Linked DNA regions of Daphnia pulex. The protein of the gene in region 1 binds, or shares a complex with, the protein of each later gene. Links are inferred from orthologs where the notes say so. Each region holds a gene or a part of one and is shown on either strand. Other genes may lie near its edges.

Evidence for each region.
Region 2: molybdopterin synthase catalytic subunit-like (region 1) and protein Dr1-like share a complex: the UniProt entries of both Drosophila melanogaster proteins name them as parts of the ada2a-containing (ATAC) complex. The link is inferred for Daphnia pulex from reciprocal best matches to the Drosophila melanogaster genes Mocs2B and NC2beta.

Annotation. Positions count from the first base shown.
Region 1 is NC_060026.1:10,881,191-10,886,167, forward strand, and holds molybdopterin synthase catalytic subunit-like, read right to left. Parts: upstream 3,172-4,977; 5' UTR 2,446-3,171; coding exon 2,317-2,445; intron 2,254-2,316; coding exon 2,141-2,253; intron 2,041-2,140; coding exon 1,853-2,040; intron 1,031-1,852; coding exon 936-1,030; intron 865-935; coding exon 699-864; intron 642-698; coding exon 313-641; 3' UTR 248-312; downstream 1-247. Other genes in the region: pecanex-like protein 1, read right to left, coding at 4,159-4,362, 4,425-4,565, 4,632-4,977. UniProt on the Drosophila melanogaster protein: Catalytic subunit of the molybdopterin synthase complex, a complex that catalyzes the conversion of precursor Z into molybdopterin.
Region 2 is NC_060021.1:11,078,939-11,082,534, forward strand, and holds protein Dr1-like, read right to left. Parts: upstream 1,975-3,596; 5' UTR 1,816-1,974; intron 1,733-1,815; exon of another isoform or gene 1,692-1,732; 5' UTR 1,683-1,691; coding exon 1,466-1,682; exon of another isoform or gene 1,403-1,465; coding exon 1,261-1,402; exon of another isoform or gene 1,202-1,260; coding exon 1,054-1,201; 3' UTR 1,003-1,053; downstream 1-1,002. Other genes in the region: uncharacterized protein LOC124194693, read left to right, coding at 61-112, 179-325, 404-497, 565-597. UniProt on the Drosophila melanogaster protein: Bifunctional basic transcription factor. Activates transcription of DPE (Downstream Promoter Element) containing promoters while repressing transcription of promoters which contain TATA elements.

The DNA of each region.
Region 1 (4,977 bases):
AAAAAAAAAAATCAAAAATTCGGCTACCCCCTGAAAGTTTTCCGTTAATATCTCCAAAAATATGTTAGCTAGACGATTGCGACTTTCACAAATGGACGTAGAAATTTATATCAATAATACCCGATCAACTTTATGACAGTATTTCCCCCTAAACCTTTTGCCAGTAGCCAAGAAGTCTACTGCCCCGCCTCTGTCCCTCGGCTCCCAGACTACAATAAGCAATAATAACTAATAACTAATAAGGCAATTACCAATTTGAAGGATGCATTATATTTTATTGATCAGATTACAACCAGAAAAAAGAAAGTGGTACTATACTAATTTTCTACGTAATTCATCCATTTTTTGTTCAATTTTTGATATCAAATCTTCATCTTCTTTATTATTCTGAAGATTAAACGGTCCGTCGAAATATTCAGGACTAATGCTTTCCAAATGAAGGATTCTATCTTCAAGGGCTTTCAAGCGTCCGTACACATCCAGTGGAATAGGTTGTTCTCTTGAATTAAAACCCAAGTGTTTTTCCATATTTTGTAGCCGTTCTTGGATAGCAGGAGTCGGATTCAATTTGGTGTTTACTGAAGATGGAGCCGGAACTTCAGAGTGTGTTTGTGGTCCCCACATATTTACGCATCTCGACACTAAAACGTAAAGAAATCAGTAATCAGCGTTGAATCCTTAAAATAAAATAATTTTACCCTTTAGATGACTTTTACTATCTTTTCTGCTTACAAGCACTGCCTCTGTGCGAGCACATGAATTCTCTAATTCGTTTAATGGTAGTCTGTGACAGAACTCCTGAACGTTGAATACGTCCGACTCTGATCGTTTCCGTTCCATAAACGCAGTAATTCGTTTTCCCAACTGAAAAATTAAAAACATTTAAAATATTTATTGAGAAAAGACTTGATAAAAGTAAAACGGATCAACAATACCTCTAAATTTGAAGCCTTGATCTGAACGCAATCGGCAGCTGCATAGTCCACCATTATTTTCCTCTTTTTAGATAGACTAGCGTCTTCTTCTTGATCTATATCAATTCAAAACATGCTATTGACTATTAAGCATCTATCACATCAAGCAAATATTCCAACAACTCATTCTCATGGAAATAAAAAATTTCAAATCCCGAATTTCCCCACCTAACAAGATTAGAATATTTTCGTACTTATTTTTTTTAATTTTGACTAATAAAAACTTCTGAACGCTTGTGCTTTCTTTAAGCCATACTTCTATAAGCCAAATAATCAAATGACGTACGCGGCAGTGAAGGGAACAAATGCAGAAGTCACAACTAAATACTAAATAAAGGACGTCTATGTGTGGTTGTCCCTATTCCGTCAGATAATTAGCTTAAAGCTTATAGGCAGCAAAGCTGTCGAACCACACGAAAACGTCTAATAGATTGAAGCAGTGCGTAGAATGCAGCATTGCAGCTACTCATCTTTAGAATCACACAGTATATGTTATTATATAATGAAAGGGCAAAGATTGGAAAGCGTTGGGAACTGGAAAGTACTTGGATAATAAGTAAAATGAATGTTAACATTGCTTAGTTAAAAAATAAAAAGAGAATTAAAAACCCTTAAAAACCTTATATTTTAAATGTCAGACTTGACAGCACTACGTAGATATTATCACTTTAGTAAGATTGAAACTACAGCCAAACTAACGTTCATGCTCCGATTTTTAACTAATGAAAAGTACTGGAAACCATTTCAAATATTGTTCTGATATCGGAAAATCGATTAAGGTTCAATATTTGTGTTACTTGTTAAGAATCAGTACTGTTATGAATTCAAAATTCATACAACAAATAGGAACAACTAAGCATTATTTGTTTAATTTTTACTTGTCCACAGGCATTCTTTGTTGGCTTTCCATTCAGGAGCACCATCACTATAAAGTTCTTTCTTCCAAATTGGTACAGACTTCTTAAGCGCGTCAATCCCAAATTGAACAGCCTCTAAAGATTCGGCTCGATGCTCGGATGAAACAGCTATTACAACACTTGCTTCACCAACCGGAACTTCTCCCAATCTGGAAAGAAAAATAGGTAATTAAAACAAACAAACAAACAAAAAAATGTTTCTTAAGTTTCCTCATTATAACTACAGTATGGTAAAAAAAAAAATTATACCTATGGTGGAATGCAATGTGTTTAACCTTCCATTTTTCTCTAATATTCTCACAAATTTTCTTGATTTCTTTACATGCCATTGGCTTGAAAGCTTCATACTCTAGACTAATCACCTTAAATATAAAGCAAATTTGATTTAGAAATATTTGACTTTAGATTATTCAAATTGACATTACTTTCTTTCCTTCAAAATTATTCCTTGTTGTTCCCACAAATAATGACACAGCTCCAGTAGAATGTTCAACCACTTTAGAGTAGATTGAATTCACATCAAGCTGTTCTTCAACTAAGTTAATAATATCCATTTTAAAATACAATTGAAGGGCTCTGGCGAATTAAGCTGTAGCACACTGCTTATGAAGAATCCTAGCGACCTAGCCACCACTTAATGGTGGGATCACTGCAATTTCCTTGCAATTTTTAATGTCTATAAGCTGATCAAATTCAACATATTCTTCATCAGCAGCTAGGACAATGTTCTTTGATATGGATTCTAGAGCTGGAAATTGTTCTGTAATGATGCACAAAAGATTTGCCCCAGTGATTCTTGAAGTTGTTCTGGAAAGTGAAATATTGTCAAAATCTTTTCCAACTAACTCTCTGGCCTTTGCAAAGAACAGAATCCGAATAACTACTTCATCCATTGATCAAGGTCAAGACTACAGCATCCCTGACTATAATTTTAACCAGATTTGTTGACATGTAACAATCAATAAAAAAATATATGTTAATTAGTTGTCACCGCAAAAGTAAATTTAACTTTGAGTAGTAATCTTGATTAGCAATACGCTCTTCTTATGCGTTGACTATGTGTCTGTAAAACTGTGACAGAGGCTCGGCAATCAGAAAAGCGTCTGGTCACTGGTCGTCTGCTGGCACTGGCAAGTGGGAAGTGGCAATGACATAAAGAGACTAAAGCGTATTTTTTAAAAATTCAAAAATTGTAATATGCGCGGAGTTTTTCTTGCGCGCAAAATATATACATTAATTTTATGCCCCCTTATCTGCAAGAAGCCAACAACGATGCAAATATTCTATGCAACTTTATGTGTATTGTGTATAGATGTTATACCCTTGAAAAAGTAGTGGTCTAGCAAAAAATCGTGCGCAGTTTACGCCGATGCGCACCACAGCGGCAGATAGCAGAACTAAACTTTTTATTACGCTTGACTACCTGTCTACTTCAAGAAACGAGACGAGAACCGACTGCTTGTCGAACAAAGGACTTGAAGTAGACAGGTAGTCAAGCGTAAAAAAAAGTTTAGTTCTGCTATCTGCCGCTGTGGTGCGCATCGGCGTAAACTGCGCACGATTTTTTTCTAGACTACTACTTTTTCAAGGGTATAACATCTATATCGTATCAGAGCGATCGTATTCGTTCACCGATTCTTTCATAATCAACAATTTCATAATATTCAAATTTCAAACTATGTGCATACCGGCATACTATTGTCAGGGGTATGGAGAGATTTATGGAGATATCTTTCTCTCCATACCCCTGCTATTGTTATTTAAAAATCCGACAAGTTTTTCTATCAGACACCAAATAAAATGACAGGCGCATTCTTATGCTACTGGAGTCACTCCTCTATGCGACTGTTAAGTGTTTACTTTCTCACCATCACTCCTTGTGTCACTACTAACACGGGAATTTTCGTGATTTTAATAATTAACAGTAACTATGAGGCGGGTGCGGTAGTTGAATAAGGAAAAATCTAAATATATAGTTCCTAGACTACAAACAATCCAAAAGTTTATTTGTTTCGAATTACTCAATTTCAAATTTCATTCGACATTTGAAAAACTCGGTAAACGTTATTGACAATGTTTTCAAATCACAGTGGTTTTTCCTAGTCAATGTCAAATAACACATAGCATTTCCGCATAACACAAACATTATTTACAAAACAAGGTTCGTGAACAAATTTCGGGGTTCACATTCAAACCAAAATACCGTTTCATATTACAACGATGAGCCTAATGGACTCGAAAAAAAAACACTGCGGCGTTTGGGAATTTCAATCAGCAACTCCCTGGGTTTTAAGCTTAGTATCATTAACGACGATAGAATCCCCGATGTTGACACTAACCAATGATGCAATTTCGACCGCCGATTCGGCGATTGGGACGTATTTATCGTCTATTTTCAAGAGAAGGATGACGCGATCCACGTGCGATCTTTGTCGCGAATCTGGATGATTAGGCACCCAACGATGTACCACCTAATCAAACACAAAGTACAGTAAAAGGAAAACTATTCACCCATCGCGTATAGTTTTCTTACCTGTCCTTCCATACCCACTTCGGGAAGCCATGATTTCCAATAAGATTTTCCACCTTGGTTACGAATTGTTGGACTTGGCCAGAGAACATCAATTCGTCGGCCCAGATTAATGGTATCGTAGACTTGATTGGGATCGACAATCTGAGTAGAGAAAAAATAAGTAAATTAATTTACAAATATACAATTTAGAAGAGCTTTAAAAAGTACCTTGACTCGTTGGTCGACAGAAATCCTGTTGTCCATAAACGGCTCCGTTTCGTACAGAGGTCGGTCAGTGTCGACAGTTTCAAGTCTGTCGAAACGGTCGCGTCTAGAACGATCTCGTCTGCGACTCCTTTCTCTTGCACCACGTCTTTCTTCTTCGCCACCTCTACCGGAAGAATTTCTCTGTCGAGCTGTAGCGCTACTACTAGATTCTGGTGCTGTACGACGTAAACGAACATCACGTTCCTGAGACTCGGAACCACGACTGGGACGTCTTTCACGGACGGATGGAGCACTTCCATTTAACGTCCCACTTCCCATGGGCGTCGAAGTGGTCGTCGCGGCGGCG
Region 2 (3,596 bases), on another chromosome or scaffold:
TTGGATCTCATGAAATGAGTTTACAATTTTCTTGTGTTTTTAAATCTATTTTTCTTTTAGCAAAAAAGTCACTATCCGAGGAAGAAGAAAATTTGACAGAATGCAAACAAAGGTAATTATAATAGGAAGAAGTTTGACTATTAAATTGTCATTACTGGTCATTTATTTTCTCTTGTAGATTTGAAGCCGTTTTGAAATATTTCAAATTCACACCTAAAAAAAATTCAGAGCTCGACCCAAAGGATTTCTTTGGTTTGTGGTCTACGTTTGCGTCAGATTTTAAAGATATTTGGAATCGTGAACAGCAACGTATTATCAAAGAAAAGTAAGCCTTTTTTATATTTTATTAATTTTTTTATTTATTTTATTAACACAACAATTCATTCTTCTTTCGCGGATTCAGTTTGGATAAAGCTAAGCAAGCTGTGAAACAGAAAAAATTACAGAGTAGTTCAAGTTATGGCTATGCTAAATCGAAAACTGACGAGGGAACTTTGGTAAGTCGTCCAGTTTATTTGCTCTACTTTTAAGATATGGTCTAACAATGTTTTTGCAATTTTACAGAAAGCAAGATTGCTTAGTCGAAAAAAGAAATAATGTTTGGAATTTCACTTTTGCCTTTTCATATTTATATATAACTTCTTTTTCCACCACGACACACGTACTTTTGTCCAATACCACTATGATAAAGTTGAATTTCTCGTAATCTCGTAACACTTAGATGTCGATCAAAGGCTTGGTTTGTCCATGTTATTTATCCTCTCAAACCTTATTATACTGATATAAAGTCGATTTGCGGCTTGTCGAATTGTTAAGCATTCAAAATGAAAAATAACTTGTTAATTATGCAATAAGTCATGCAGTTAAATTCTTTCCAAATATGAGGTATCTGAGTAGTATAAATAATGCTTCAAGTACAAAAGTAAAGAATGTTAGGATGGTACTGATAAATAATAATTAAGACAACAGTAGAAATATTTCAAATACACTTCATTAAGCTCATTCTAGAAATCAAATTTTGTATGTATTGAATCAAATTTCACAAACAATCTTCTAAGAGTATTCTCCATCTTCTGAATTTGATGGAACATCTCCCTGTTGTTGCTGCAAGGACATTTGAGCCTCTGCTTGAAGTTGTAGCCACTGTTGCTGCTCAGCAGCAGCTTGTTCTTCTCTGGCTTTGGCAAATAATTCCTGCTGTCTATATTTTAAAAAATATGTATTAGACTAATTAAATCATAAAAAAGTGATAAAACTTACTGTCTCAATAGCTCTTCTTCTGGAATTCCCAAGTTTTCCAACCTTGTACTTTGGCGCCTCCTTTTGGCAGCAACAGCTTTACAATCTTTCAACACTGCTTCAGCATCAGTACGGTAGTCATTGAATCCAAGCCTATCTAATGCTACAACCATGTGTGTTAGATTATTTTTCCTTTCCATTACTTTACAACATTTGTAACAATTACCTCCAAGTATATGCTCTGCATTAATAGTCTTTTTCTGTTGCTGAGTACAAATTTCATTAGCCTCTGAAGCCAAAAGGTGTATGAACTCAGAACAACAGTTAAGAATCAATTCTCTAGCTTCATTGGCAACTCGGACACTGGGAACAATCTCTTTAATCATTTTGTTCATAGCAGCTCTCGGAATGGTCAATTCTTCTTCTGGCACAGCTTCTGCCATCTTTAAAGCCTGTATATCAGAAAAAAAACCTACTGTCCACAAACAGAAAACTTTATGAAGAGCAAAGGCTTTGTCAGCCAATACTAGAAGGAAACCGTAATATTGAAAAACAAATTTATGACTCATTATATACCAGAAAATTATATACGTAGAATTAAAAGAACAGCACACACGGTAAGAGTATGATCCTAAATTCTTTCAAAGTTTTCACTAATAATTAACTTTTCTCTCGTGCAGAAGAATGCATAAACAAAGCAATACAACAAACTACACCAAACACACTAGATAAGAAACTAAAATGAATCGCTAAAATAACCTTTTTTTATGCGCCTCTACCAATCGTATACAGGTACTAGGTTGGGAATGTCCAGAACCTTATCCATCTGGTGGCTGCGACTAGTACTTCGTATCCGACTGATAGAATATATCAGCTTGCACCATTATCAGCTTGCACCATTAGTTAGGCAATCCAAATTCATTATCATTATAGGCATTACGAAACAAAAACTAAAAAAGACCATTGTTTTTTCCCCGCATAATTCAGAATCAGGTCATTTTTGGTTGTAAAATTGCTGTCATCCCCCTGTGATTTCCACGCAAACCTTGAAATGATTGTCATTTTTATACTACAATTTCTACTTCATCGTCGGTCCGCGAGGAATTAGAGGAAAAGTCATTGACAAAACCAAGAATACGCCTAGGTCGACCACGGCACCACGCAAGGAAAAGAAAAATTCCGGGTAAAATATCTAAACTTCATTCGTGTTGCTTATAGCAACTCGATCTATTGAAGGTTGTTGACAAGCAGTGTTATTGTGCGTGTTAGCTTTGTTTTTTAAATTCGAAATTCAGAGACCGAGTGTGATTCTATTTGCGCTGTTTGTAAGCAGAGCTATAGATGACAGCGTGTATGGCAGAGCTATACATCTATAACTCTGTTGTAAGCATAAAAGGCTAGATATTTTAATTTAAACCTGAAGTCCTTAATGAATAGGATATTTGTCGTTTGTAGTTTGAATATGTTTTTTGATTTTTTAAATGAAAACAAAATCACAAAAGCCCTTTGCTTGCTAACGGAGATCAACAACTGAGAAGTTAGAAAGAATTCGGGTAATTTTCTGAACTTCGTAAAAGGGCAACGTCGCTTCCCATTCCTCACGGAAGTTCGTCTGCACTGTGCAAGTCTGCAGACTGCATTGCAGATTGGTGAGTTGGTGACGATGACATCATCTGCATATTTTTTCAAAGTTTCAATCATGGAATTGTTCGATTGTAGTGACTAGTACGCAATAATGAGTCCGTTCACTCTAAAGTTTGTTTATATTTCTCGATTGTCTAACTTATGTTACCCACGGGTGTCCCGTTGCACCGTGGACCTTGGAATGTGGATTGTGGTCGGTGAGAAATTGACGGTGGTAAAGAAACTATTGCCTGGGGGACCGTAAGGAGTGATATTAATCGAGCAGCCCCATCAATTCCAATAGTTGCTTGAAAATTTGGGCAAGAACGAATTTGAAAAGCCCTTTGTGCTTTGTCTGCTGCAATACAACTTGAGGCAGGTGGCTACCATGTTACAGTTGGAAAACAAGCACATAATTAAATCACCTTGCTTTTGTCGTAAAACACACTAATGATTTATTACATTTTAGGTCAAAACAAATCCTGTCTGGATCTTGACGTAGAAATTGATAGACATACTTTTCATACTGTTGTCAAAGTTGAGAAAGAAGAAGACAGACATAATCTACTCTCTGCAACACTGGCATTATATTGGCCCACTTTCACGTTGATTTACCATATTGGTCTGGTGGAGTAACCATCAGTGGGAAAGCAGTGGTCCCAAAATATTAATCCCAGTCTCCTTTACTAGCCAACGTCATTTTCAAGTTGGGGATGGAATACCAGCACAAAACG